Oryctolagus cuniculus: one gene and its partners. The protein of the gene in region 1 purifies or fractionates together with the protein of each later gene. This does not show direct contact. Links are inferred from orthologs where the notes say so. Each region holds a gene or a part of one and is shown on either strand. Other genes may lie near its edges.

Evidence for each region.
Region 2: the proteins of PRR3 (region 1) and DAXX purify together in Homo sapiens (co-immunoprecipitation; 3 studies listed by BioGRID and IntAct, with this or other methods). This does not show direct contact. The link is inferred for Oryctolagus cuniculus from reciprocal best matches to the Homo sapiens genes PRR3 and DAXX.
Region 3: the proteins of PRR3 (region 1) and METTL17 purify together in Homo sapiens (co-immunoprecipitation; 3 studies listed by BioGRID and IntAct, with this or other methods). This does not show direct contact. The link is inferred for Oryctolagus cuniculus from reciprocal best matches to the Homo sapiens genes PRR3 and METTL17.
Region 4: the proteins of PRR3 (region 1) and DHX37 purify together in Homo sapiens (co-immunoprecipitation; 3 studies listed by BioGRID and IntAct, with this or other methods). This does not show direct contact. The link is inferred for Oryctolagus cuniculus from reciprocal best matches to the Homo sapiens genes PRR3 and DHX37.
Region 5: the proteins of PRR3 (region 1) and YTHDC2 purify together in Homo sapiens (co-immunoprecipitation; 3 studies listed by BioGRID and IntAct, with this or other methods). This does not show direct contact. The link is inferred for Oryctolagus cuniculus from reciprocal best matches to the Homo sapiens genes PRR3 and YTHDC2.
Region 6: the proteins of PRR3 (region 1) and RBMS1 purify together in Homo sapiens (co-immunoprecipitation; 3 studies listed by BioGRID and IntAct, with this or other methods). This does not show direct contact. The link is inferred for Oryctolagus cuniculus from reciprocal best matches to the Homo sapiens genes PRR3 and RBMS1.
Region 7: the proteins of PRR3 (region 1) and RPUSD3 purify together in Homo sapiens (co-immunoprecipitation; 3 studies listed by BioGRID and IntAct, with this or other methods). This does not show direct contact. The link is inferred for Oryctolagus cuniculus from reciprocal best matches to the Homo sapiens genes PRR3 and RPUSD3.

What each region holds. Positions count from the first base shown.
Region 1 is NC_091436.1:139,856,907-139,861,072, forward strand, and holds the start of PRR3 (proline-rich protein 3), read right to left. Parts: upstream 2,851-4,166; 5' UTR 2,557-2,850; intron 2,355-2,556; 5' UTR 2,338-2,354; coding exon 2,238-2,337; intron 1,559-2,237; coding exon 1,496-1,558; intron 1-1,495. Other genes in the region: GNL1 (guanine nucleotide-binding protein-like 1), read left to right, coding at 3,452-3,524, 3,930-4,095.
Region 2 is NC_091436.1:135,802,890-135,807,182, reverse strand, and holds the start of DAXX (death domain-associated protein 6), read right to left. Parts: upstream 2,826-4,293; 5' UTR 2,687-2,825; exon of another isoform or gene 2,569-2,686; intron 2,462-2,568; exon of another isoform or gene 2,328-2,461; intron 2,196-2,327; exon of another isoform or gene 2,059-2,195; intron 1,478-2,058; 5' UTR 1,426-1,477; coding exon 1,219-1,425; intron 1,065-1,218; coding exon 233-1,064; intron 133-232; coding exon 1-132. UniProt on the Homo sapiens protein: Transcription corepressor known to repress transcriptional potential of several sumoylated transcription factors. Down-regulates basal and activated transcription.
Region 3 is NC_091443.1:53,913,108-53,917,340, forward strand, and holds the start of METTL17 (ribosome assembly protein METTL17, mitochondrial), read right to left. Parts: upstream 2,858-4,233; 5' UTR 2,781-2,857; coding exon 2,700-2,780; intron 2,547-2,699; coding exon 2,393-2,546; intron 2,304-2,392; coding exon 2,169-2,303; intron 1,075-2,168; coding exon 993-1,074; intron 769-992; coding exon 687-768; intron 347-686; coding exon 273-346; intron 1-272. UniProt on the Homo sapiens protein: Mitochondrial ribosome (mitoribosome) assembly factor. Binds at the interface of the head and body domains of the mitochondrial small ribosomal subunit (mt-SSU), occluding the mRNA channel and preventing compaction of the head domain towards the body.
Region 4 is NC_091452.1:5,101,051-5,104,609, reverse strand, and holds part of DHX37 (probable ATP-dependent RNA helicase DHX37), read right to left. Parts: intron 3,542-3,559; coding exon 3,440-3,541; intron 3,061-3,439; coding exon 2,946-3,060; intron 2,083-2,945; coding exon 1,987-2,082; intron 1,783-1,986; coding exon 1,697-1,782; intron 1,268-1,696; coding exon 1,123-1,267; intron 582-1,122; coding exon 505-581; intron 376-504; coding exon 143-375; intron 1-142. UniProt on the Homo sapiens protein: ATP-binding RNA helicase that plays a role in maturation of the small ribosomal subunit in ribosome biogenesis. Required for the release of the U3 snoRNP from pre-ribosomal particles.
Region 5 is NC_091437.1:4,437,430-4,440,988, reverse strand, and holds part of YTHDC2 (3'-5' RNA helicase YTHDC2), read right to left. Parts: intron 2,715-3,559; coding exon 2,595-2,714; intron 2,294-2,594; coding exon 2,021-2,293; intron 21-2,020; coding exon 1-20. UniProt on the Homo sapiens protein: 3'-5' RNA helicase that plays a key role in the male and female germline by promoting transition from mitotic to meiotic divisions in stem cells.
Region 6 is NC_091434.1:81,413,077-81,417,112, reverse strand, and holds the start of RBMS1 (RNA-binding motif, single-stranded-interacting protein 1), read right to left. Parts: upstream 2,802-4,036; 5' UTR 2,335-2,801; coding exon 2,260-2,334; intron 1-2,259.
Region 7 is NC_091441.1:116,871,511-116,875,809, reverse strand, and holds the start of RPUSD3 (mitochondrial mRNA pseudouridine synthase RPUSD3), read right to left. Parts: upstream 2,811-4,299; 5' UTR 1,543-2,810; coding exon 1,418-1,542; coding exon of another isoform or gene 1,393-1,417; intron 1,183-1,392; coding exon 1,076-1,182; intron 1-1,075. UniProt on the Homo sapiens protein: Catalyzes uridine to pseudouridine isomerization (pseudouridylation) of specific mitochondrial mRNAs (mt-mRNAs), a post-transcriptional modification necessary for their translation.

The DNA of each region.
Region 1 (4,166 bases):
GATCTTCAGAACTGTCTGTTGCAAAACTAAAACTCCGTACCCATTAAACAATTCCCTTTCCTCCATCCCTCTGCCCCCCAGCCCCTGGTAGCCACCATTCTATTGTTTCTATGAGTTTGACTTGAGATACCTCATGTAAGTGGAATCATACAGCATTTGTCTGTGACGGGCTTGTTTCACTTAGAAAGTCCTCCAAGTTCATCTGGGTTGTAGTTATGTGACAGCATTTTCTTCCTTTTTTAAGGTATTCCATTGTACTTTTATCTTCGCTTATCCATTCTTCTATCAATGGACATTTGGGATGCTTCCAGGTCTTGCCTACTGGGAATACTCTACGAACATGGGTGGGCAAACATCTCCTCAAGACCCTGCTTTCAATAATTTTGGATATATATCCACAAGTGGGACTGGATCATATGGCAGTTCTAAGTTTTTGAAGAAATTCCATATTGTTTTCCATAGTGCTTGTACCATTTTACAATCCCATCAATAATGCATACGAGTTCCAACTCCAACGTGGTATATTTTCATTCTGTATTTGATGACTAATGATGTTGACTACTAGTTCACACAGTTTGGGTCCATTAAGATCTCCAGAATCTGTTCTGGTCTTCTGCCAATTTTTCTAATGAACTGTCTGGAAGAGTTCTTCTTATATTCCAGATAAGAGCTCTTTATTGGTTATATTTGTTGAACATACCGTCTTCTACTCTATGGCTTCCTGTTAATCAATGTCATCTGATTAAAAGAAGTTTATGTTACCTAATGTAGTTGAATATAGTAATCTTTTCTTTATAATTTGTGTATGTGTATTTCTCATCTAAGAACTGTTAGCTACTCTAAGACCAAGAATATACACTTACTTTCTACAATAATTTTTCTTTTACCTTTTATACTTAGATCTGCAGTCCAACTAGTACTGTTATTTTTAAGACTGTGAGGAGGTTAAATTCCATTCGTTTCCTACACGACTATCCAACTGATCTAGCATCATTTATCGAAAAGACCACTTTTTCAGTTCTATCTTTATAAATGAAGAGCTCACACACGAAGACGTCAAAAAATTCACAGAAAACACATATTAGGAAAAAACCATGCATGCACTTTGAAAATTTTAGGCACCAAGATAAACTTATGTTTTAACTGTTTTCCATCAATTTTTTGAGGCACTTTCATTATGTGTGGGCCTGTTACTTGCCTTTTTAATCTGTTCTGTTGCATCAAAGTCACAGCTGTAACCACTGTAGCTTTACAAAAAATCTTGATGTTCAGAGTAGCCCTCTCACTTACACTGTCTTTACAGTCTCTCACCCTGATTCCCTGCATTTTCACGCCAATATTATGACTTTTCCAGTCTGTGAATGCATAACTTCTCTCCATTCACTTAGGCATCGAATCCTGGATTGTAAGATGTGAAATTCTTGCTAGGTTTCACTTCTCCTCTTGCACCCTTCTCCAGCATCTAATACAAGGATCCGGGTCCCCTCCTCCTCACCTGACTTGGGGTCACCAGGCTTTCCATTGGCCATGGGGGGAGGGCCCAGAAGGCTGGGTGGTCCTAAGAGTAGACATGAAAATACCGTCATCAGAATGGGCTATGATCCTGTCCTCAGATGTCCTTCTAGAATGCACTCCTTAACTCAATCAGCGAAGTGAGCTATGTATCATCAGTGTTGCACATTCTCACCCCATCTGTGGGCCCTTTCCTCTGCCAAGCTGTTTCCATGTTCTGCTAGAAAGCAGAGACTCAGGAAACCCGGTCATGCAGGAATGACGCTGACCACTGTCTTTCCCTCATACTGGTGCAACCACAACATCCTAGGTAATTCCAGGGCTAATTCAATCCCCCACCTGAACTGCTGGCCAATCAAACAGCTCTTTTCCCCTCCCCCTCCCCCAGGGGAGTGCTTAAAAGGCGGCCGCACTGCATTCTACCCTCCTAGTTTGATCTCAGACTGCGCTCCCACCCGCCACAGCCTGCAACATCGCGCACCTCTCCTCCTGCGGCTGCGCACTCCGCACTTTAGCTTTTCCTCCCCCGCCTCCTCCAGAAAGGTTTGGGGGCCGGATAAAGGCCAGGAGTTCAGGTGAGTAAACTCCTGGCTTAAAGCTGCATGCAGGACAGCCCCTTCCCCTGCGCGTGCGCCCTCGCGCCTTCCGTGAGCGCCCCCTCCCCCGCACCTGCCTAGTCCCTGGCCCCAGCCTGGCCCAGCTGCCGAGAACGTGCGCTCCCTTACCCATGGGACAACCATCTTCCTCGTCTCCAGTCTCCTCCCGCTCGGGCCGTGGGGGCTGCTGTGGCGGCGGCTGCGGATTCTGCTTCTTTCGTTTCGGCATCGTGGCTGCGGCAATGGCTGCAGCGGGATTTGGAGGGCAGTGAGGAAGGGGCACGCTGGAAGCTGTTTCCGCTTCCGGGGGGAGCCCGGTGGGCAGCGGGGCTGAGGCTCCCGCCATTCCACTTCCGGGAGGCAGCGGGGAGCCCCTGCCGCGGCCGCACCCGCCCGAAAACCGCCCCGCTCCCGCTCTGCTAGGCACGGCGGCAACCTCAAACCTTACCTTTGCTGCATCTCTCCAAGTGCTTACAAGTGCCCTCTCCTCCGCCAAGAAACACCACAGTGTGCTGCAGAGCCCACGGGCTTCCGGGCCGGACGGCCTGAGAGCGGGCTGTCGCGTCCTAACGTCGCCACTTCCGGTGCCCTGTTACCATGGGAACAGCCGCAGGCACAACTCGGTGCCCTCTGACCTCCCTCCAAAAGTCCTTGTCCCACCTGGGTCTCCCTTCCCGCCCGCGCTTGGGATCTGCAGACCCGCCCGTTAGCATCGAAATTCGGGTCCCAGCAGGTCCGCGCCCGGGAACCGGCAGAACGCCACCCGCCCCTTAAGACCTCCGGCCGTGCCCCACGAGTCGCCAGCAAGCGGGCTTCCCTCTCGGGGTGCTCCGTCTCCGCTTTCCACCCAGGCCAATCCCCGCTCGGTGCTGTCGCCTCGGCGCGTCCCCGCCCCCTCCCTCCGAAGGTAGCTGGGCCCGCCCTCCGCTCCGCCGCCCCCGCCAGGTGAGTGGTAGCGTCTCCCGGGAGCGCAAGGTAGTGATGACACGCGCCCCCCCTCCTGCGGGCGCCCGTTGGTAGCGTCCGTGACGGAGCGGGCCCGATCCTCCCACGCGCGCCTCCTCCTCCACCGCCGCTGCGCCCCGCCGGTGCCGCTGACTCTCACGTGCCGGCCGCCTGCCCCGTCCCCTCAGCCCCTCGCCTCGCTCCGGGAGAGACGTGACCACCCCGTGTCTGCTTTCCGTCCCGGCAGTCGCCGCCGGCCGGCCCGGCCCGTCCGTGACGTCACCCGCTAGCCCCGCCTCCTCGAGGGTCCCGGGCCCTGGCGGCGGGGGCTGCCCCCGGGAGTCAGTTGAGGCGGCGGGAGCTCGGCGGAGGGGCGGGCCCGGTGACTGGTCCGGGCCATGCCGAGGAAGAAGCCCTTCAGCGTGAAGCAGAAGAAGAAGCAGCTGCAGGACAAGCGCGAACGGAAGCGAGGTCAGTGCGGGAGCGGGCGGAGGGGGCGGGGCTCGGGCTCCCGCACCTCTGAGGGAGGGGTGTGCCCGCTGCACCTGGGGAGGGGGCGTGGGAGGGGGCGGCGAGCGCGCGCCGAGGTGCGCGGGCGGCCGTGGAGGGGTTCCCCCATAGCTGGAAGGGGTGGGCGAGGATGGGGAGCTGGGGGAGGGGAAGCCGTTCCCGCAGCTCCCTGGAGCAGCGACTGCCCCCGCGCACATCCGGAGGGGTCCTGGGGCGCGTGGCTGGGAGGGCCGAGCCGCGGAGGAAGTTGGGTGGGTGGAGGGGAGCCAGGCCTCCCGGGGCTGGGGCCGGGGCGGGGGCGTGGGGGGGGGGTCTTATGGCCCCTGAGAGCCGGCCAGCGCTGGCGTCACCGGCCCCTCCCCGCAGGACTTCAAGATGGGCTGCGCTCCAGTTCCAACAGCCGCAGCGGGAGCCGGGAGCGGCGGGAGGAGCAGACTGACACCTCGGACGGGGAGTCTGTGACCCATCACATCCGCAGGCTTAATCAGCAGCCTTCCCAGGGCCTGGGTCCGCGGGGCTACGACCCGAATCGGTGAGCGTGGAGGGGGGACTCTGGCCCCGGGCGTCCAGGGCAAGCCGGCTGCTGGCGGGTCGAGGTTCCCC
Region 2 (4,293 bases), about 4.1 Mb from region 1:
TCTCGCCTTCCTCACTTCTGTCTTGCATCATTGCGTATTTGGAGATGACCTCGTCTAGGCGGCTCAAGGCCAAGGTCCGGTTTTCCCGAAGGCGCCGGGCCAAGGCAGGATCTGACAGTGCAGGGTCAATGCCTACATGGGAAGATATGACAGCAGAGCACTCAGCCCACACCCTGGCAGAGAGGGCGAGCGGTCCCCTCTGCCTCCGACGGGCACCCCGCTAACCCGCTACCTGGCCTGTAGTCATCCGTGAGGTGGCAGCCGAAGTTGTAGATGAGGTCGAGATGGCGTCGCTCCTGTAGCCTGACGCCCACATCTCGGAAGGCGTCCTGGGCCATGAGCTGGAGCTGCTGGCGCGGGAGGCCGAGGCTGTGCCGGACAGCTGCCTTCTCTACGGCCCGCAGCACATCACCGTAGTCGGGGAAGGTGTCGGGGCCTGGCTTGTTGATGAGCCGCTCGATGCGCCTGTTGACCTCTGGGTAGCGGGTGCCGCGGTAGGGGATGCGCTGCTCTATGACCCGGCCGGTCAGCGAAGAGCAGTCTTTCAGCTCGCACAGTCGCCCAAAGAGGCGGATCAGCTTCCGCTTCAAGCGCGACTCCTGCAGGTACGTGGAGTCTGGGTCATCCAGTTCTGACAGATCCAGCTCCTTCTCCTGCAGCCTCCGGATCTCCGCCACGTACAGTGCCAGCAGCTGCTCTAGGCGCTGGATCTGCCGGCGGGAGCCACGGGTCCTTGGGGCCTCGGAGACAGCGGCCTCAGCATTGCCGGGCTCCGAGGCCGGGTCTGCAGAAGTATTACTCCCAGAGGGCTCACTGGAGGCGGTGGCAGCAGGAGCGAAGTTCAGCTTCTTCTTGGCTGAGTGGGCCTTGAGAACGGTGCAGAGCTCGTTGATGTAGACGTAGAGCTTGGCGGGCCGGCTCCGGGCCCGGGACAGGACCCGAGAGAGGATGTTGCAGAACTCGGCTGAGGCCAAAAACACAGAGTGGGCACGCTGCTGCCGACTGGAGAGGAACGGGACCACCTCAGGGTGGTCCGCTGTCTGCGTCTTACACAGTTCAAGGAACTGGAGGGTTCGGGGGAAGAAGAGAGCGGACAAGAGACAAGGGAGGGGGTTGAGAGAGAGAAGGGGGGGTGCAGTTAGTGGGGGAGAGAGGACCAGAGAGCCAGTGCGCCATCCCCCTCCCTGGGGTATAAGAATCTTCTCCCCTAAAGCTCACCTCTTCAAACAGCTTCTCATTCTCCAACTTGTAGCATTTCTTGCCGCCAGAACTACTGCTTCCTCCGGCCCCATGGGGCTCAGAGGAGCCAGGGGCTTCTGCCTGGGGTGAGGCCGGAGTGGGGGGTGGGTGGGAGGGCCCTGGCTGAGCGACTGCTTCATCTTCGTCATCATCATCCAGCACAATGATGCTGTTAGCGGTGGCCATGAGGGATCAAATCCCCCGGAGGGAGGAAGTGTTGGGGGTTTCAGAATTCCTGCTGGAAGGGGATGGGGCCTCAGAAAGAGCCCCTCCAGCATAGCCCCTCCCTTCAGCTCAGTTTCCAATCTCCGTGGGTTTCAGCAACACCCAGCCCTGCCCAACAGTGTCCTCACTGCCTGTCTTCTGCAACCATTAGCTCTGGATGCCTTCCCGGGCCCTTCAAGTGGCCCAGGACAGGGAACCGCAAACATTCAATCGCCACACCCAGCTCTACCTCTCACATTGGCTTCCGGTCTTTCTGTTCCATCTCCCCACTATTTCTCATAGTTGTCAAGTTGGTTCTTCCAACCCCAGTCCCGCTTCCCAGATTCCCATGACACCCTCACACACGGAAAACACACTCGCTCTGGCTGCCTCACGTCTGGCCCCTTTCACCCCGAAACATGTCAAACCCATACCCCACCCTTAATGATCACCCCAACTCCTAGACAATCCAACAGTCCTCTCAACGATCCATTCTCCTTTCCCCTCCTGCTATTAACTCCGTATTTCACCCTCTGATGGGCTTCTTCAAACCAGGGCACTGGGTTGGAGTATGACACCTCAAGAGCCCTCCCTCTCACCCCACCCTGATTTTACCTGGTCGCTCTCTGTGACTTGTAACCGATCGTGAGACCTACAGTGGGCTCTCCCGATTCTTCTCGGATCCCACCCTTGAGTCGCGCCGGCAGGGTAGATGAGCTTCCCGCCAAGTCCCCCTCCCCCAGGTCAGACCCCTAGCCGCCCCACTTCCCTTCAGGAATAAGGTACCAGAGCATGCCTCTCAGACTCAGAGCCCGCGTCTCCCCAGTACCGCCTCCTCGATATCCCCTCCCCCGTTTTCGCTCCCCACACAGTCCGGCCCGCACCTCAGAAACGGTCTCACGAGACGACCCTCGCCGCTGATCTCAGAACCTCGCATGGTTCCCTCCGCCTTCCTTCCCCCTCCCACCGCAGGCCCCACTACAGACCGGAAGCCGCGGAGTTTCCGCCTACACGCGTATAAGCGCGGCCATATTGTCGTACGGAGCCCAGCCTTCCTGCTTCCGGAAGGCCCCACCGAGCGTGCCTAGTACCGCCCACCTAGCCCGCGACTCCCTTCCCCCTGACCTGTAGGGGGCGGGGCCTGCCCCTTCAGGGCGTCCCGAAGTTGCTGGGGGCCGCCATTTTGTTGTACGGCCCCAGCTCTGCAGTGACTTGGGCCCTCAGCCGGCGGAGCTATTTTCACCTGGTGCTTCTGGGACTCCGCCAATCAGAAACTTCCTGCCTCGAGCCCAACCGCCAGCTAGTCGCGTGCCGAGACCACTGAGCCACCTTTCCCAGGGGTGGGAGGGGGGCAGTGGAATAGGCTGGCTGAAGAACTGGGGTCGCCAAGGCTGTGCATGGCTTCAGGAAAGGGCAGGCGTGTCTAAACGGGGAAATAAAACCTTTTCCTTCCGCTGGGCAATTAGTGAGGCTTCCGGTCCTGCTTTCCTATCTCCCAGGTACCGGTTTCCACCGCTTAATGGGCTTTGCGCCCCTCGCCGCTGCCCGGCCGCCGCTTCCACTTCCAGGTGCTACGTCCCCGGCCGGGAAATGTCGACGCATGCGTACAAACGAGCACCGCGCTCCCTGAAGGTGGTGGTGGTGGTATTACTATCGCTACGTTGTTGTTGACTGGCTTTCCGAGCTCCGCCTCAGAACTAATCAGCGTCCAAGCCGGCGGGACCCGAGCGGCGCTGCGCTGTTCTCCGAGTGGGGCCTGGACGCTGCGGCGGCATCGGCCCCTCGAGGCTCTGTCGTGGGGTCCGGGGGCTGGGGGGAGCAGCTGGGCGATGGCCCCCGCGCGTGCGGGGAGACGCGGTGGTCTCCTGCTCCTCAGGGAGAGCCGAGGACAGAGTGAGGAAGGAGCCGGAGGAGACGCCTCGCGTGGGGGAGGCCGGGCCGCGTCCCGAGGCGCGCTTGCGGGGACAGCGCGAAGCCCACGCGCGGGTGGTGGCCTCCTGCCTCAGGCCCGCGGCCTTGCATCCCTGACGCTTCCTTTGAGAATCCCTGTCACTTCTCGCCAGTCGTCCAGGCCTACAGCCTTCAAATTGAGCAACAAAACTCGCCAAGACCACTGGGTCTTGACAAAGAGGATTTAAGTTTCAGATCCTCAGCTTTCCCAAAATTGGGCTCCCAGAGCGAGCGCCTGCGGTAGAGGTTCTCCCTCTTCCTTCCCCTTCACAATGGACTTTCTCCATCTTATAATAATTCACAGCCGTGAAGTTGCCTGGGTCTCTTACCTGGCTGAAGTCAAAAGACACGTGGTCTATTTCAGCGATGCACCATGAACACAATCTTCTAGCTTATTAAAAATTCGTAATGCAAAAATTTGCACAATCTTTGTGCTGCTTGATAAATTCGTTTTTCATAATTGTAACGATAAATATTTTTAACAAAGAGTCAAAATCGCAAGAAAGACTTTTTTATTTAAAAAAATGTTTTTTATTTGACAGGTAGAGTTAGAGACAGAGAGAAAGGTCTTCCTTACGTTGGTTCACCCCCCAAATGGCCACTACGGCTGGCGCTGTGCCGATCCGAAGCCAGGAGCCAGGTGCTTCCTCCTGGTCTCCCATGCGGGTGCAGGGCCCAGGCACTTGGGCCATCCTCCACTGCCTTCCCGGGCCACAGCAGAGAGCTGTACTGGAAGAGGAGCAACCGGGACTAGAACCCGGCGCCCATATGGGATGCCGGCGCCGCAGGTGGAGGATTAACCAAGTGAGCCACGGCGCCGGCCCCAAGAAAGACATTTTTCATCTCAATTAGTATATATGTACCTTCAGGAAAACGTAAGAGGTTGGTCAATAAAAGATT
Region 3 (4,233 bases), on another chromosome or scaffold:
GCCTAGTGAGCCGCGGCGCCGGCCACCCTACACTATTATTCCTTTGCTTTTAAACTTTTCAGATATGGGTCTTTTTTCACTATGATACTTCTTTTAAATCCTGGCCCTAACCCATATACCTTCTTCTGCCTCGCCTAATCGGAGAGAAGAAACATTCTAGGTTCTCAACTTTCCTATTTTTCCTGTGGTTTTTCAAGTTCTTGATACTGGATTGGTGTTAAGTGTGGCCTTCTAGAACTAGACTTGAGAAAGGGATGAAGCAAGTTACTCACCAGGTGACAGAGCCAGTACCCGAGCCAAAGTCCATTAAGGTTTGTGGCTGAAACTCTGGAATTCGAGTTCGGATCTGGAGAAACACACAACACCCCACAGTATGGTAAGCAGATACTTATTTAGTGCCTTAGTAAATATGAATTAGGGGACTATGACAGAGGAAGAAAGATGTGAACACATTCTGAGATTCAACATAAACACTTAACAACAAGCTCCTAAAATAGTGGTTCTGAACCTTTCTTGGGTCACAGAATCCTTTTACAGGACAAGAGAACTTTAAGAAAGAAAGAAAAAAAAAAAGCAAAGCATAAAAGCCTACGCAGCACCCTAAGAATCCCTACCGTACAGACTACATTATGAATCAATAAGGGAACAGCAGGTAAGAGCGTTCAAGTTAGACACAGATTTTTCACCTCATGGAATGCCCTGGAGACTGCCGCGAAGCCACCATCCAGTCTCGCTGCCATATACACCAGGCTCAGTCCTTCATTGTAGCTGCACAAAAATCAGAGTCACACCTGCTGACCATTGCGAGGAAATAAGATCTTGGAAAGGGCTCTTCCACTTTAGCTTTTCACTCCCCAGGGCAGAGTGGTCCTGGGGATCACTATCACTCAGGCACTTTTTCAAACACTGCATTGATCATGCAATTGTGCGGCTCCATTCTCCTTTTCAAGTCCAACTTTTCTTCCTTCTGCATGTTTTCTAGTCCCCCTCACCTCAGTTCTTGCCAATGGTAGGTGGTTTTGCGCAGGGCATGTAGCACTGCTCCACGAAGCTTTTCTTCTGTCTGGGATGAGTCTGCGGTGAGAACAAGGACTGGAAGTGAGGACCTAAGGAGAACAGAGACCAGATCCAATATTTAATTCACTGCCCTCCCGGTTCTCCCCTCTCCCACTGGAAAAGCCTCAAAGCTCAAGAAAGCAGCCAAACCTAGAGAAAAATTTCAGCTAAGGATAATCACCACCAGCACCCCTAGAGTGTATGAGATAGTATTTGCCTCCAACAGCAGTATATTCAACTTAACTGACCCTACCCAACAAATTTTTTTCTATAATAAAGGAAAATACAATTTAGATTTAAAGGATAAGAGAAGGACAATTATTTTGTGGATTTCCTCACTTCCCCAAAACTTAAGACTGTGACATCTTGAATGTTCCTATAGGTGGAAAAGGGACTCTATTGTGTTTGGCAAGTATGTACTAAATGCCCATTCAGAGCCAGATTGTGGGGGGTGTAGGGGACACAAGATAAATAAAAGGTCTGTAAGACGAAGGAGCTCACAACCGTGAATATATTACATGTATTCTCCAATCCCAGAGGTTTTCAGCATTAGGCAGTTAACTTTACAGGGACTTTCACCTTAATAAGAATGGGCCAGCGCTGCGGCTCAATAGGCTAATCCTCCACCTAGCGGTGCCGGCACACCGGGTTCTAGTCCCGGTTGCCCCTCTTCCAGGCCAGCTCTCTGCTGTGGCCAAGGAGTGCAGTGGAGGATGGCCCAAGTCCTTGGGCCCTGCACCCCATGGGAGACCAGGAGAAGCACCTGGCTCCTGCCTTCGGATCAGCGCCGTGCGCCGGCCACAGTGGCCGTTGGAGGGTGAACCAACGGCAAAAGGAAGACCTTTCTCTCTCTCTTTCTCACTATCCACTCTGCCTGTCAAAAAAAAAAAAAAAAAAAAGTAGATGGTCCCAACTGGGATCCAGATTTCAATTGCCATACTCTGTCCCTTCCTCACGTCCCAAGGGTAGTCTCTGGAACAAATCTATCTTCCAGTAAGGTGGAAAGTCAAATAAGAAACTCCAATATCTATTTGAGAGACTGTAAAATTATCTCTTGCACTTCATTCCCCAGTTTCAATCCGGCCTAATCTTTCATCAGTCTTCAATCCTACCTGCGTTTTCCAGGAACTTTTTCTCCAGACTCACAGCCCGTCTTTGTAGCTCCTCAGGTTCTACGGGCAAGTGTCGGCTCCAGAGATAATTGGTCAGTGCTTGCACATGCTTCTCCACATTGGGCACTGCGTTCTCTGGAGGCCAGAGATGAAAAGCAGAATTACCTGTGTGCAAAGGCCCATTTCTTTTTCTCCTCGGATACCCCTTTCCCGCCGTTACTTACGGAGTAGCAGTAGCTGGGCGGCGTCAGCCAGTGCCTGTGGCAGTTGCACGCACGGCAGACGTAGGATGCCAGGGTGCCGACGGTGAGGCTTCTTCCCCAGAAAATCGGACTTGTTATCTACCTGACTCACGCCGCGAACAAGGGCCGCCAGCGCCTGGAAGCCGAGAAAGGAAAGCTGGGTGCCAGCCACAAAGGAAGACTGAGGGCTCTCAATTAAAGGAAGCGGCTGCCAAACAGCTCCTTCTTGGAGCGCAGCTGTCTCTAGGGTCCCAGAGCTTCTTCGGGAGCAGAGAAAGTAGGTACTCACCCGGGACTGGGGGGCCATTCGAAGCCCGCGGCGCCATCTGCCCAATATCGAGGGCAACCTCTTTCCCGACGCAGCCGCCATGCCTTCGCAGGCGAACCGGAAACAGAAACGAAAGTGACCCTCAGCTCCCAACGACGCGCGGAACTTCCTCCGGGATTTCGCTCGAGACAGCATCAACCAATGAGAAGAAGGAGTGCTCATTAGTAGCCAATAAGCAGTCGATATGTAAATCTACTCGCGGCGGAAGCCGTTCGTGGGCGGGACTTGGAAGTCAGGTCCGACCTGATCGGCGGAAAGGGGGTGCTGCAGAGCCCGAAATTGAGGGGGCGGGGCATGAGGGACGGAGGCGGGCTTTCGGCTGTCAAAATCTGGTTGCTTTTCTCCCTGTAGAACTGAATCTGGAGTTGTTTTCCTCTGTGAACCGGAGAATGCAGTAATGAAAAGGTGAGGAAACCAGATTTAAACTACTAAAGGTAGTAAATTAATAATTTAGTTAACAGTTTAATTAGTTGTCAGTTTCTCGTCAGTTAGCAATAAGCTAACGCTAACGCTTGCTGAGAACGCCCACATGCTAGGTAATGTGCTAGGAACTTCTCCTTGGGGTCTGTTGGGAAGTCAGCATCCCATATCAGAGTTCCTGGGTTCCGCATTCCAGTTTCTTGCTGGTGCACACCCTGCTAGGCAGCAGGTGATGGCCCAAGTCCTCGGGTCCCTGTCACGTAGGGGACCCGGGTTAAATGACCAGTCCCTGACTTAGGCTTGGCTTCACCCCTGCTGTTGCTGGGATTTGAGGAGTGAATCAACAGGAGATTCTCTCTCTGTGTTTAAAAATAAATTTTCAAAATTAAGGAAGAAAATCCTTCTATGTAATCTAGTTCCTACCAAGGCATATCCTGCTGTCAGCCCCATTTTGCACTTGAGGAAAGTGAGACTTCTAATGGTTAAATATGTGCAAGATCACAATTTTTTTTAAAGATTTATTTTATTTATTTGAAAGAGTTACAGAGAGAGGTAGAGGCTGAGAGGGAGGTCTTCCATCCGCTGGTTCATTCCCCAGACGACTGCAACGGTCAGAGCTGCCCCGATCTGAAGCCAGGATCCAGGAGCTTCTTCTGAGTCTCCCACAGGGGTTCGTTCAGGAGCCCAAGGACTTGGGCCATCTTGTACGGCTTTCCCAGGGCATAGCAGAGAGCTGGATGGGAAGGGGAGCAACCAGTACTAGAACTGGGGCCCATATGGGATGCCGGTGCTTCAGGCCAGGGCTTTAACCCGCTGTGCCATAGTGCCGGCCCCTGAGATCACAAATCTTGTTAGGTGACAGCTAGTTTAACACTGATTTCATTTTTACACAATATGCTATACCCCATATTGTTGGTGGTTGGGGCACAAGTTAGTTAACTTTATGCTAAGTGTTTGGAGGTGTTAGCATGTAACACTAAAAAGCTTACTGTGCCGTAAACTCTTGATATCTGTAGCAAAGGTCCATCCTTACTCTGCTGGGATAGAAGTCTAGTGACAGGATGGGTAGAAGTTC
Region 4 (3,559 bases), on another chromosome or scaffold:
GTTCAGCAGTGGAACAAGGGACAAATGTGAGCACCTGAAAGCTGGCTGCCACGCCCCAGGGCCACGTGGCCCCTGTAGATGGAGGAGGGATAGCGCCTCTCCTCACCCTCAGTGGTGGCTGCACAGGAACCCGGAGGCCCACCTGTAGCAGTGGCCAGGCTCTGTCCGGCCCGCCCGGCCTGCCCGCTGGTCGGCCGACGCCTGGGAGATCCAGGTGACGCGGAAGGAGGACACGCCCGTGACACGGTCATAGTAGCGCTTCTTGACCTTGCCACAGTCCACCACGTACTTGATGCCGGGGATGGTGAGGGACGTCTCGGCCACGTTGGTGGCCACCACACACAGCCGAGTGCCCTCTGGGGGTGGCCTGAAGACCTAGCGTTGAGGGGTGGGGGTGGGTGGCCAAGTCCATCCCTCCTGGGCCCCAGTGTCCTCTCAGAACCCCAGGCACTGCCCAACTTCAGCACTGGCTCGCCCCCGCCCCCACGCCCGGAGCACCGTTACCTGCGCCTGCTTCTCTGGGGCCAGCAGCGAGTAGAGCGGGAGCACGTGGAGGGGGAGGGAGGCGTCCAGCTGCTCGCCTGCAGGGAGCAGAGGCTGCCGACAGCCCTGGACGGGACAGACCGCCCCGCACCCTCCACCAGCCCTACTGCCAGGGGCTCAGCCGTGAGATGGGCGAGGCAGGCAGGCAAAGCCTGGGGACCGGGGACAGACTCCCGAGGGTTCTCCCGTCACAGCTGCCACTGGGATTCCCTTCTCCCAGGCTGGTCCCATTGAAGTTGGGGTCAGCCTGTGGGGTGCCCCCCACAGCCCTAGGCTGCACACAGTTCATATACGGCCAGGCACCCCCCAGCACCCCTGAGGCCTGTGTCCACACAACAGAGTGGGCCTGGGCGTGGTGCCCCCATGACACTCAACACCACAGGAATTGAAGCCCCCCACGCACCAGGCAGTCTTAGGAGCTCAGGGTGCAGCGTGGACAAAGCAGCTAGCAAGGCCAGCTCTCCCGCAGCTCACACGAGGACCCGAGGGTGGGATCTGGGTTCTTTGTAGCTGCCTCCCAGCGGGGGCTCCACACACTTGCAGACGAAGGACCTGAGTGAGGTTGAGAGTGGGACGCACCTCCGTCCGCCTCGTCATCCCCCAAGTCCAGATCGAGGTCGGAGCCCAGGGCCGCCTCCTCGTCGTCCATCTCTGCCTCCCGGTCCTCGTCGCCCTCGCCCGCCGGCAACACCGAGTAGTTATCCAGGTTGATCGGGGGCAGTGTCTACACTCAACGAGACACAAAGAGCATGGGCTGCGGGCGCCCCGCTGCGGATGGCGTCGTGCACAGCACAAGCAAGCCCACGCACCCTGTGGGCCCCGGGACCCTCGGGCGGCCACTAAACATATCTGTTTCCTCACCCGAGAACTGGGGTTCACCTCCTGGGGCTGCTCTCAACACTGAAGTGCAACAGGTGAGAGCAAGAGGGGAGTCCACGCCGCCACCTGGGGGAGCCCTCCCAGCAGCCTCTGCTCCCACTCCCCAGCAGGGGATCGGCACAGGCCCTGCTCGGGGTGCCCGGGGCCCAGCAGCTCCGCGTGGTGCACCCAGGAGACAGGATTTCCCATTTCACTCCAATCCAGGGTGGGCTGGCGGCCACCAAGCTGGACACTGCGGCCCTGCAGCCCGAGCCCCCAGCACACCCCAGCCTACCGAGCCGGCACGAGCCTTTCTCGCCCTGGCCCGCGACTTCTTGAACTTCCGCATTTCTTCCGCCGAGTCTTTCTCGTCTTCCTTTTCTGCAAATGAGGGGAGGTGGGGAGAGACACCTGTGGCCAGGGCAGGGCAGAGCGCTTTGCTCCTTGTCACCCAGCAAAGCCACTGCCCGCGACCACTTAATTCAGGGGTGCGGAAGAGGCCGCCGACTCCAGAGGGAGAGGCGGGGCAGCCGGCTGAGCCCCAGACGGGGGCAGTGGGGGACTGAGCATGCGCACCCTGGTTACCTTTGGCCTGGGGCCTGGAGGGTGGGAAGGCCTTCCTGAGCCTGCGGCACAGAGCGTGCACCTCGGCCTGCCCCGTCAGGAACACCAGGATGCCACCTGTGGGAAGAGCCAGGCTCCGGTGTTACCCATCAGTCACTCAGCAAACACTTCCTTAGCAACCAGCACTGAGACACAGGGCCCCAGGGAGCCAGACGGCACAGTCATGGGCGGACGAGTCACCCCCAGATGGAGGTGCCGTGAGACCCCACGGTGCCACTCCTGAGCACGGGTCCACGAGGACTGGCCAGAGGTCTCACGGGAGCCTGCGCACGTGTTCAGACCCCAGGCTGCGGGGAGGCTCCTCGCTGCGAGCACCTGGTGCAGCCCAGAGTCTCCAGACAGCGGCCGTGCACCCAGGAGGCCCTGCACCGAGACAACTTAGCAGGACAGGCACAGCGAGCGGGGACACGGGGTCTCACGTGTGCTGGAAGCACCCTGCCACTCTCAGCCTTGCAGCAGGGGCAAAGCAGCCTGGAGCCCAGCTTTGGAAGACCAGAGTCTCTGGTGAGAAGTGACCACAGCTACCACAGCTGCTGGGTTTTGGGGCTGTGTGTGCGCTAAGTGGCGCCGGCGCCCAGGACCATGGTTTCCTTTGGATGTCAATCCACTCTATCCTCCCAGCCAAGGGCAAGCCGGTTTGGTGACACCAGCTAAGTAAGGGGACACAGCCCTCCCCCTGGACCGTGCGTGGGCACCTGCCTGCGCCCAGGTGTTCTGCCATCAGGGCGGACGCAAACCCAGCCCTCAGCTGCCTGCTCCAGTCCACACTGGAGGCTCGCACTATTCTGGGCAGAAAGAGGCCGGGCAGGTGCTGCGAACACTCCAGAACCAGGGAAGAAACAGGCACGGCAAGGATGGGAGTGTCACCAACCCCTCAGGGAGGGGCCGGGAGCCTGGGCCTCAGCCCCCGCCAGGCCCACCTGCAGGCAACATCCGGTGGATCTTGCACACCTTCCGGAAGCACTCGCCACTGTAGTCTTCCAGTGGGGTCCTCTTGTTAAAATGCACCGTCACCGGGAACTGCCGGGACTCCACCTGCAGGGGCAAGAGAAGACGTGGGGGGTGCTGCAGCCAGGAGTACCCCCCTCTCCCCGATCTTGCTGCTTGTGTTTGAAACTGTGTTTATTTGACGGGCAGAGTTAGAGAGGGAGGGAGAGACAGAGATCTCCATCCGCTAGTTCACTCCCCAAATGGCCACAATGGCTGGGCTGGCCCAGGCTGAAGCCCGGAGGCAGGAACTCCATCCTGGTGTCCCATGTGGGTGGTGTCCATGGCTGCCTTCCCAGGCGCACCAACAGGGAGCTGGATCCCTGACCTGGGCCACAGCCTACAAACGCACACCTCTCCGCGTGACAAAGTGAGGTCCACCAGGAGCCTCCTCCCCCTGGTGAGGCTCAGAGGCCCCAGGAATTACCTTGATGACGGGGGGCGGCTGGGCGAAGAGCCGCTGGTTCTGGGTGAAGTCCTCTACCCGCAGCGTGGCCGACATGATGAGCAGCCTCAGCGGCAGGTGCCTCTGTGGGGGACAGGCCTG
Region 5 (3,559 bases), on another chromosome or scaffold:
CTTCGAGCTTTCTGCCAAGCCTATAAAAACAGAATAGTTACATAACAAGACACATTTACCACCAATCACTTCTTGGAGGCAACAAAGTAGCTGAAAACCACCATTGGTAATCACTCAAAGTCAATTCTCCATATTCTAATTATTCTATAAAATCTAACACTTTATGATCAGATAAAATTGATATTAGGGGCAGGTATCTGGCACAGTGGATAAGCTGCAGTTAGGAGGCCTGCATCCAACATCAGAGTACCCAGGGTACATTCCCAGCTCCAGTTCCTGACTCCAGTTTCTGCAAATGTGGACTCAGAAAGGCAGCAATGATCGATCAATCAGCTGGGTTCCCACCACCCATATGAGAGACCTAGCTTGGGTTCTCAGGTCCTGGCTTCAGCCCCCCAGCCCATAGCATTTCAGGAGTGAACCAGTGAATGGGGGCAAGCTCACTTGTATGAGCTCTCTTCCTGGCACTCGCTGCCTCTATTTCTTTCTGCCTATCAAATAAATAAATTTCAAATTTATCACCAATTCATACTCAAACACTATGAAAGTCATTGGGTTTACAAAACCCCTAGGAGAACTAAGTGTCAAACAACCTAAATGATCAGCTATGAGATATATTCACATTCTCAGGTAAACCTGCCAATTTTATTCCACACAAGTGTGAGTAGTTTCAATTACGCCATCCTAATCCACTTGTATCTAGGAATTCTGCCACTGTAGTCTTCCAATCATAGTCTCTGTATCAACCTCCTGATCTGAGAATGGAAACTTGGATTTCTAGGAATGACCCTCTATGCAGCATAAAAAGCTCCCTTTTGAAAATCAGTTTTCTTGCTTTAGGTGTAATTCGAAGACCAAAGCAATAATTATCCTGTTTTAGAAGAAGCAGGGGGAAAGCAAAGAACAGATAGGAATTCTACTCCAAATATCCCAGTAATTACTATTCAACTGCCATACTATAATATATAGTATTTAACACCCAATTAATAGCAAACAGCCATCCACTGTTCCATAGCACTCATAACAGAACTTTTGATTATTTTTAAGAATTATGTACGTGAATATATGCATATTATGTATGTGCATATATGTATATGCAATACTGGCATACCGTATGGGCACAAGTTCTTGTCCCAGCTATTCCACTTCCAATCGAGTTCCCTGCTAATGGCCTAGGAAAGTCAAGTACTTGGGCCCCTGGCACCCACATAGGGGTAGGGGATGAAGTTCCTGGCTCCTGGCTTCTGCCTGGCCCAGCCCTGGAGGTTGTAGCCATCTGCGGAGTGAACCAACAGATGGAAGATCTCTGTGTGTGTGTGTGTGTGTGTGTGTATACATGTGTATCTCCCTCTAACTCTTTCAAATAAATAAATCTTAAAAAAATAATGTATTTTAGAAAAATCTTACATGCCTGAAAAAGTACTTTCAACACAAAGTTGAGCTCTCTCTGTATATACTTCTTAAATTTTAAAATAAAGAGTAAAAAATCAATAGATATTAAATTCAAGATAATTTTCTTCCAACCTTTGTTCTGTAAACTTTAGACAACGTTCAAATAAAATTTTAGAGCATTCTCTGTCCAATATATGATTTAAAGATAAGGAGCTCAGTATGAAAAAATAAGCATGAGTATTAAATATAATATTCATCTAAGGAGAAAATGAGGGGAAAACATGTAAAGAAAGATTGATATTTTTAACATATTAACAGCAAGAAGTATTTTTCTGGGCTATTAGTTAAATGTGACCTCAGTTTAAAAGTTTACTGTATATGAGTGAAACACACATCTTTGTGATTTGATTACTGTTTAAAGCCCTTGCCTACATTCCTGCTGAACTATGGTCTTTTTATTTCTTATTTGTTAAACTCTTTATTTAGCGGAGCATTAAGGTTTTGACTATAATAATAATAATTAAAATAGAAAACTAATGAAATTATTTTCTATCTCTTTAAACTGCTACACTTTACCCAGAAATGCGTTCAACACAGCATTTTCAGAAACAAGCCCCAGCACTAGTACCTGGAAGGCTCTGAGAAGCGCCATGTGGTCACTGAAAGTTCCTGCAGTGAAACGCTTCCTGCAAAGCATCGCTGCACGCTTTTGAGAGGCCTGGGTGGGCAGCACAAAAGGATCTCGGTAGGCCAGAGTGCAGGCAATTGTAAGAATGGGATCCAGACACTTCAGAACAACAGCGCACAGCACCATTTTGCCAAGATGTGGCTCGACTGGCAAGTCAGCCAAGTGATATCCAAGTTCAGTCAGATCTTCCCAGGCATCCATTGCATCTATTGTCTAAATAAAAGGATACAGAAAAGAAGCTGACATGACCAAACACTGTTTAACCACACCACATACTTAAAAATCCATAAGTAAAAAAATATAAAATCTTTTGTCACATAAAAATATTTCACTTCAAATATATTATACTTACATAAAAGAACAATACACTGTATTACCTACTATTAACTACTGTGACAGTATTATTTAGAGTGCATGATACACTAAAATGTTTTCAAAGTATAAATAGGTTATATATCCTCATTCAGTTTAAATCTTAAATTTAAAAAAAGCTAGGAACTATTAAGACACTTACCTTCAGCATCTGTACAGCATTTCTTACAATCAAAGCTGGCGGGGGTTCAGGAGCTTTCATAAGGAAGTCAGCAACGGCACAATTAACTGGGGCTAACAGCTTGGTATGTAAACAAAGTTCCTTTAAATCAAAACAGTAAAGAATGTACTTTAGACTTTTACCTGTAAATGAATTACACAAACTACAGCTCCCAAACACAGACTAGAAAGCTTCTTATTAAACTGAACAGCAGAAGGAACAACATCTTCCTATGAAACATGGGCTCACAACTAGCCTGATCGGCCAGAATCCTCATCAGCACCATCAGTCAACTCGTACCATTGTCCCTTCTGGCTACATCTCCTCACAGAATTCTTAGATACAGGGGCTGGTGCTGTGGCTTAGTGGCTAAAGCCACCACCTGCAGTGACAGCATCCCATATGGATGCCAGTTCAAGACCCAGCTGCTCCTCTTTTGATCCTGCTCTCTGTTATGGCCTGGGAAAGCAGTAGAAGATGGCCCAAGTACTTGGGCCCCTACATCCACATATAGGCCATTTGGGGAGTGAATCAGCAGGTAGAAGATCTCTCTGCCTCTGCCTCTCTGTAACTCTGCCTTTCAAATAAATAAATAAAGCTTAACAAAAAAAAAAAGAATTCTTATATACAACTGTTAGAGCACTATTCAAAAAATAAATCTTTTCCCTGCTTTTTTTATACTTACTACATCCTAGAATCTTTTATTTGTTCAACCATACTTAAGTGCTCTCTAGGTTCATGGCATTATGCAGCAAGTTGTAGAAGAGGAACACAGACAAGTGTCTGTACTCATGGAGTTTACACTGTTGTGTAAAAACAGACCTGAAATAGCTAATTATATAATTAACAACTTTATTAGAATTGTGGTAAGTGCTATGAAATTACAGGGAGGCAAAGAGTGACCGAAGCAAATTCAAGAAACAGCAAGGGCCAGCACTGTGGCACAG
Region 6 (4,036 bases), on another chromosome or scaffold:
GCCTATCTTTTTAAACTACACTATTACATTGTTACTAATAGACGTGTGAGAGAGGAAAAGAAAAAGTCTACATGTTGCAAACCCTGCTTACCTAAAATCTGCATCTAATCACTTCTCAGTTTCAGGTGATGTCCCTTACTGAGATAATCAAGATACTTTTACCATCGGGAATTGAGATTTCATTACCAAACTTTAATACGATGCTATATAGGTCAAGTGAGTATATGTACCTCTCTTTGGAAACAAAGAGACCCAGAGTATTAGGATTTCAGATTTCATAGTAGAAACAGCAAAATACGTTTTGAGAATGTCATTTACTGAAATACAAATCAATATTAAATGCTTTATGCAGGAAGCACACTTTCAGAAAATGGGCCCTAAAGCTTTCTGGGATCCGACCCTAATTACCAGAGAAGGCTCTTGTCGTTTGTCTCTCTCTTCAATTATTTACAGGGCAAAAAAAGCCAAATGGCATTGCATTAGCTATATTAAATGTTAGGTACTTGGTTTCTAACTTACTAATGGTACATAAAAATTACCAAGGTAAATGTGCCTGTAGAAACACAGCTTTTATTTTCTTCTTCACCTGAGTGTATGTATTTATTATTCATATAGTTAAGTGTTGAATAGGCTGTCTTTCAGGCACCCAATGCTGCATAATTTAAACAAGTGCATTAAATATATAAGACATCTAAAAGGTAGGGCATTGATTATGCCACAAAATTTCTTTGTACAGTTACAATGGAGCACCCCCCAAAATCGAGCATCTCCCAAGTTCCTGAAAACAAACCCGTCAGAACCACACAGAAATGAACAGATGGGTTTCCTTGCTGGTACCCTCCTGCAGCTTTCTGGTGACTCAAAGTAAAACAAGAAGTGAGGAGGGGGTGATGTGGGGAGTGAGAAAGAGACCCTGGAGTGCTTGGACATTCTTGGCCTTGATGCCGACAAGTGTCCTTTTTGCAAATACAGGTCTGTGTTGCAGGTACATGCAACACGGACCACACACATTCTAAGAGACTTTCTTACAGTTCAAGGCTGAACCTGAGATTCTTCGAGTCAGGCCAGTGATGCCCAGTGTGCCAGCCAGCCGGTCATGGTTGCCTTCTCTCTCGACGGAAGTTCAGGCACAGCATCCATACCTGGTCGTTTTCTGAGCTAGAAAGGCACGCGGAGCTGTGCTAGATGTTAACGGCTTAAGGAGCCTGCTGCATCCAACTTCCGCCCTTCCAAACCGTGGCAGAAGCTTCTAAAGCAGAAATCGCCACTCTTCACGTACCCAACTTTGTTCCTCTTCTCCTTCTTTTGTTAATGAGTTCAGAAGGCATCACATTCTTACAGTGAATATGAGATAGGCCCTCTAAACAAAGTACCCAGGGCCCCCCCAAACCGGTCGTAATTGGCATGGCTACATGTCATCAGCTGCTGGAACTCAAGAGTGCATGCAGGCCACTTTTGGAAAAACACCACTGGAAATCGATCGGTGGTAAAACACAGGAGGTGGGTTTTTTTCTTCCTGTTTTAACTAAATACAAACTCACTTCTTTCTCTGCGCTGAAATCTGCCCATTATCCCCCCTTTGCAAAAAAAAAAAAAAAAAAAAAAAGCCACAGAAAAGATTCAAAGGGACATCAATGAACACTGAGTGAACTTTGGCCACTTTTCTACCCAAAACACCAGCGTAAAAGTAGAAATCAGTAACCAGGTGAAGTGCCACACCGCACAAAGATCAGAGGCGAGGGGCGGGCGCGCAGGGCCGGAGGCGGGCAGGAAAACGTCCCGGCCCCCCACCCCCACCCCGCCCTGCAGCCCCGGTCGACGCGCGCGCACGAGGTAGAGGGGCGTCCCTGGGGGCGGGAGGCCCCGCGCCGCTCCCGGGGAAGAGAAGAGTTACTGCTCAGTGGGCGAGGCCCTGGAGAGGGGGTCCGGGCGCCGCGGGCCCCAGGCGTCGGCCGCCGGCCGGGCAGCACCGGGCGCAGGGCGCCGCTCGGCCCCTCGACCCTCGTCGCGTCCTCCCGGGCCAGGAAGGGGCTGGCGGCTCTTTCCTGTCTGGTCTCTCCCCCCGCGGCTTTCTGTAACCCGATCCCCGCAATCGGCGCCCCGGGAAGCCGCCGCCCAGCGCAGCGCGGCTCTGCCCAGGCCAGCGCTATAGTTAGCAACCTTCCATCAACTCCGCCCGGGGCGGCGGGGGGCGCCGCGCGCCTCTCCCGGGCCGACCCCGCGCGCGCCCCCGCCGCCCCTCGGCCGGCGCCCCCTTACCTTAGCTTGCAGATACTGGGGGTAGTAGTAGGTGGCGTACTGAGGGTACATCTGCTGTTTCCACACTTTGCCCATGAAGCTGGAAGGAAGCCTGCCGTGCAGGGTCGCGGACACTTTGGGGTTTCCAAGTCTCGATCGCTCCTGCCTCTCCCTTTCCGGCGGCGGCGGCGGCGGCGGCGGCGGCGGCGGCGGCGGCTGCCTCGGCGGCTGCTGCTGCTGCCGCTGCTCCACCTCCCAGCCGGGACCAGACGTCCTCCGCCTCCTCCTCCTCCTCCTTCTCCTCCTCCTCCTCCTCCCGAGCAGAGAGAAAGACACTGCAGCGCGCAGAGGGCACCCCGGACAGGGCGCTCCCAAGGAGTTTCCTCCCGGTGCCCGACTGCGCCGGGGCTGCCAAGGGCTGGCGCGCGGGCCGCGCTCCGCTCGGCGAGCAGGCGGCGCGGGGCGGGGAGGGGATCAATACAAGTGGAAAGTGCTGCTGCGGCTGCGGCGGCGGCGGCGGCGGCTGCGCTCGGTGCCAGGCGGCATCTGGGGTGGGTGCGCCCGACTGGAGCAGGGAGAGGGGCTGGCGGGCCGAGGCCGTGGGGGAAGGGCGGGCGGGGGCGGGGCCTGCGCGCCGCGGAGCCCGGGACCCGCTGGAGGTGAGGGCAGAGTTGGGAGCGCCGCTCACCTCCCCGGCTCGGGTAGGACGGCGGGAGCCCTGCGATCCCAGACCGCTTTGTGTCGGCGTGGGGGCGGGGGTGGAGAGGGCACCTCTTCTGCTCTCTGGAGTTCTTGGCTTCGTAGGGGGGAGGGGAGGTACGGGAAAAGAGGAAATCTGATTAATCTCTCACTCCCCCCCCCTCCGCACACCCCGCGGACTGATGCTTTTTTTTTTCTTTCTTTCCCCCGAAATGGAAAGGAAAATGATTTAGTGCCCAGCACAAAGCTGGAGTGGGGTCGCGCGGGTTCTGTCTCGCCCCCACCCCAGACCACTACACTAATTTTCTAGGTGACCTTGGGAGGGTGAGTGTCCTTCCGTTTGGTTTTCCCGGTTGTGAGAGGTGAAATCATGCCCCTGCACCAGGGGGAGGCAATGCTCACAGGCGCGCGGGTGCGCGCGCGCGCGAGCGCACACACACACACACACGCACACACACACGCCTCATAACAAACAGACGGCTCCTTCCAAGGGGAACACACACACACACACACACACACACACACAAACGCGCGCGCGCCTTACAACAAACAGACGGCTCCTTCCAAGGGGAGGGATGCCGCAAAGAGACAGGATGTGATTAGAGGACACAATATAGACATCAGCTCTTTGCCTCTTTCAAATACTGCCAGACAGTCTGTCAACTCCCACTCAGGAGCAAGGAAACTCCCTGAGTTTGGAATATTTTAAGGCCATTTTGAAAGTCACGCCGGCATATTGTTGCAGCGTGCTTCGGTGACATATAAAATCAATCTCCCTCTGCCTCTCTCCATCTCCTAATTGTCACCGCTCTAGACAGCCCCAGACGAACGGTGGTTCGGCTCACTACATAACTGGATATAATGTAATGGAGTAATTGGTCCCCAAAGCAGCCTGCAGAGCGATACTAAAATAGGACAGGTATAAAAGAAAGCATTCTCAAACTGATGGCCTTGCACATTTAATAAAGTGCAACGAAAAACTCATTTGTTATCAAGTAGATCTTCATTATTTTGTTTTGTCATATTGGTTTTCAGAATCTTAACAGCACAGGGAAAATCAAACTGAACTAGAATGCCTGACTTTGTTCAACATTTACAT
Region 7 (4,299 bases), on another chromosome or scaffold:
CCGTGGCCTCTGCACGTGCTGTGCCCTGTCCCGGATCCTGAGGCCTGTCATGTCACGACACAGAGCAGCCTGGCTCCCCAGACTAAGGCCGTGACCCCATACAGCCATGTCTCCGTAGCAGCCCGGTGACCACTGGTCACTCCCTCACTTAGTTTCTGAGTAACCCTGCTCCCACTAGCACGCGGGCTCCCTGAGGGTGGGACCCACAGCGCTCTCAGCACGGCGTGGCCTGCCGTGAACACAGCCCATGATCAGCACCTGAGGAAATGAGCAAGGCACCAAACGAGGAAATCGGTTTCCCTGAAGCCACACAGCAAGCTGACCCCTGAATGTACGCGGGGCTGGCGTTGTGGCACAGCAGGTTAAGCTGCTGCCTGCAATGTGGGACCCCACATAGGAGTGTGGGTTCAAGTCCCAGCCTCCTGCCAGTGTGCATGGAAAAGCAGAAGGTGGCTCAAGTACTTGGGACCCTGCCACCCACGTATGAGACCAGGATGGAGTTTCTGGCTCCTAGCTTTGTCCTGGCTTAGCCCAAGCCATTACTGACAACTGGGGAGTAAACCAGCAAACGAAAGAGCATCTCCCCCCACCCCCATCACTCTGCATTTCAAATCTAAAACGCAGAATCATCAATAATAAATGTGCAAATCCTGTTTGTTTTTTAAGATTTATTTATTTGAAAAAGTGAGTACTTCCATCCATTGGCTCATTGCCCAAACTGGCTGGGCCAATCCGAAGGCAGGAGCCAGGAGCTTCCGGGTCTCCCACATGGGTGCAGGGTCCCAAGCACTTGGACCACTCTCTGCAGCTTTCCCAGGCCACAGCAGAGAGCTGGATCGGAAGTGGAGCAGCCGGGACGCGAACTCGCGTTTTACTGGCTCCTTCCCAGCACCAGGCCCTAAAGCTCGTGTTTTCTGCATCAATAAACTGCGTGACTATTACAGCGATTGCAATTCGGGAGTGCCAGCCGCGTGCAAGGCTCTCCACACTCTGCACTCTTTGCCCTCTTACCGCCCCTCCAACGCCCCAGGATGCGGAGGCACAGCCAGGCTGCGACCTGTGCCTGCAGCCTCACCTTTCCGGTCCACCACGGCCGCCCTCAGCACGTCCACCAGCTGCTCCCGGCTGAGGGTCTCGGACGGCAGCAGGCCCGGGAAAGGCTGGTCCCCAGGCGGCCGCGACCTGCAAAGGATGCGGCTGAGCGGCAGGGGCGTCGCTCACCTCCCCCGATGCCCGCGTCCCGGCCCTCCCGCGCCTGCCGCCTCTGACGCGCACCCCGAGCGCCGGGCCGAGCTCCCCGCGTGTCCCCGTCCCGCGGGGCCGCACTTCGCAGCCGAGACTCGGGGCGAGCCGGGACACACGATCGCGACCCCGCCCCAGCCTCCCTCCTACACAGAGCAGGGTCTGTGGCAATCACCGGGCCTCGGCGCCAAAGCCTGCATCCCGGGTCGCCGCGCGCGCCCCTGTCCATCGCCGCCAGCCGCCCCCGACGCGGCCCAAGGCCCGGGTGCCGCTCATCGCCCGAGCCGGGACAGTGCGCATGCGCGCCCCGAAGGCGGCCCCGCGGCCCCTCGCCGCGCGCTGATTGGTCAGCTCTGACCGTCCCTCGGCCGAGCGAGCCGGGCGCCGTTTTCTGACGGTCCCGGAGTCCCGGCGTTCGCGTGAGCACGTGCTGTCAGGGAGGCTGAGGAACCGGAGCAGCGGGATTCACCCTCGGCCGGAGGGCCTGACTTAGGACCAAGCCGGGGTGAGGGGTCAAGGTTGCCCGGCCGCCGCCCTGCCGCGTCCGTGAGGTCAGGGATGGATAGAGCCACAGCCGCTAGGCGAGCGACGCGGGGGAGGCCAGGGCTCCGGGCGCTTTTCCGGGCAAAGCCTGGACTGTTTGTGGTGAGGCCTGCAGGGAAAATGAGCCTCGTGGGTCGCGAGTTAGGAGTGTGTTTAATCCACTTAGATGCTTCCTTAAGAGGAAAGATGGCCGCCGGGAGCCGGCTTCCGCATCCGGGTCTCCGGCGGGGGGCGGAGCTCCGGGTCCCGGCCGCAGGAGGCGGGGTCTCGGGTCGGGGCGCTCGGGGCCGGGTGGGCGCGCGGGGCCGGGTGGGCGCTGGCCCGGGTCTGGCGGCCCCTCCCCGGCTTCTGCAGTGCTGACCCCGCATTCGCGTGCGGGAAGTGACCGCCTAGACACAGGCCCGCGGCGGGAAGTTGACCAGGGTGACGAGACCTGGCGCCACACCCCGCCGCCATCTTGGTCACGCCATGGCGGTGCTCGGCCGCCGGGGGGAACTGGTTCACCACGGCCCGTGTCGCGCGCCGTGGGTTAAGCCGCTGCCTGATAGCGGCACGCCGCAGGGGAGTGCCCGGTGCCCGCCCCGGCTGCTCGCTTCCCCTCCAGCTCCCTGCTGTGGTCAAGGAAACTGGACGGTGACCCAAGTGCTCGGGCCCCTGCGCTCACGTCGGGGACCCAGAAAAAACTCGTGGCGTCCGCGTTCTCCCTCTCCTAACCTCTAACTTCTCTCTGTAGCTCTGCCTTTCAGAGTAATACTCTTATTTTTTAAAGATTTGTTTATTACAGACACAATCTTCCACCTGCTCGTTAGCGCCCCAGGTGGCCACAGCACTGGTCCAAACCAAGCCAGCAGCTTCATCTGAGTCTCCTGCTGGGTGGCAGGGCCAAGCACTTGGACCATTTTCCACTGCTTTTCTCAGGCCGTCGGCAGGGAGCTGGATCGGAAGTGGAGCAGCCGGGACTCAAACCGGCGCCCGCATGGGATGCTGGCACTGCAATGCCACAATAAATCTTTTTTAAAATGTGAAAGATAAGTTTATTTTGATGTAAGAACAGTTTTAAGTGTTTTTTTTTTTTAAAGATTTTATTTAATTGAGAGGTAGAGATACAGAGGGAGAGAGACGGAAGAGGTCTTTCATCTGCTGGTTCTTTTCCCAGATGGCCTCAATGGCCAGAGCTGGGCCAATCCAGAGCCAGGAGCTTCTTCTGGGTCTCCTGTCCTTGCAGCCGGGGTCTAAGCACTCGGGCCGTCTTCCGCTGCTTTCCCACGCACATTAGCAGGGAGCTGGATCAAAAGAGGAGCAGCCAGGACATGAACTGGCGTCCACATGGGATGCCAGTGCCACAGGCTGAGATGTAGCCCCTGCACCACAGCACGGGCCCCAGTCTTTGAAAATTCACCAGGAGGAAAAGGTGGGAAGACAGAGGTGGGGGAGCAGAGTGAAAAAGTAAGAGAAATAACTATAGAAGCAAAGAACAGAATGGGTTCTGTCCTACGATTAGAGTATGTAAAAGTTACAGGCAAGCGGTGTGCTTTTTAAAGGTTTATTTTTTTGAAAGGCAGAGTTACAGAGGAGAGATGGAGAGTGCCCATTCACACACCAGATGGCCTCCAGTGGCGGTGCCGTACCAGGCAGAAGCCAGGAGCCTGGTTCACTCCCCAGATGGCCCAAACAACCAGGACTGAGCCAGGAGCCAGAGCTGCTTCTGGATCTCCCACGGGGCAGCAGGGCCCCAAGCACTTGAGCCAACCTTCGCCGCTTTCTCAGACGTGTTGGCAAGGAGTTGGATGGGAAGTGGAGCGGCCAGGATGGTGTTGGAGGCCAGGGCTTTAACCCACTGAGCCGCAGCACTGGGGCCTGCAAGGCTGTATCCTTTGTGTGTTTAATTCACTGACGGCACTAGGATTTCTAATTTGTTGTTTCCGTTAGCAATAACCTACCAATAAAGCTAAATCCATACATGGGCAAGTGGCTAAATCGGTTGTAAAACATCTGTCCCACGGAGCCGTGGATTGTAGAGTAGGCAGGTCTCTGTGAAGTTGTGAATCACTCCATATTCAAACATTAAAAGGGATGCTGTGAGTCAGATATGAGTGTGTGGATGTGATGTCTGTTTGTGCATTATAGTGATACATTTCTCTGCTTTTGAAGGGATACACAAATGGATGAGTTTGCATCCAGTGATGGAATAAGGCCGAGGAAGACAAGTAATCATGTTTACTCTTTGGAACTGCTTATATTTGTTCCATCGTTGATCAGTTTCTTTGCATGCATGCACAGAGAGAGTTTAAAAATCTGTCAAGAGGCAGGTTTTGGGCTCGAGGTTACGATTCTTTCCTCCTTTATCCAAATGCCTGGATTTGAGTCCTGGTGCCGCCCTATTCCAGCTTCCTACGAATGTGCACCCTGATAGGCAGCCATGATGGCGGGGTCGAGGGAGACCTGGATGGAGTTCCTGGCTCCTCACCTCAGCCTGGCCCAGCCTCGCTGTGTAGGCATTTGAGGAGTGGTCCA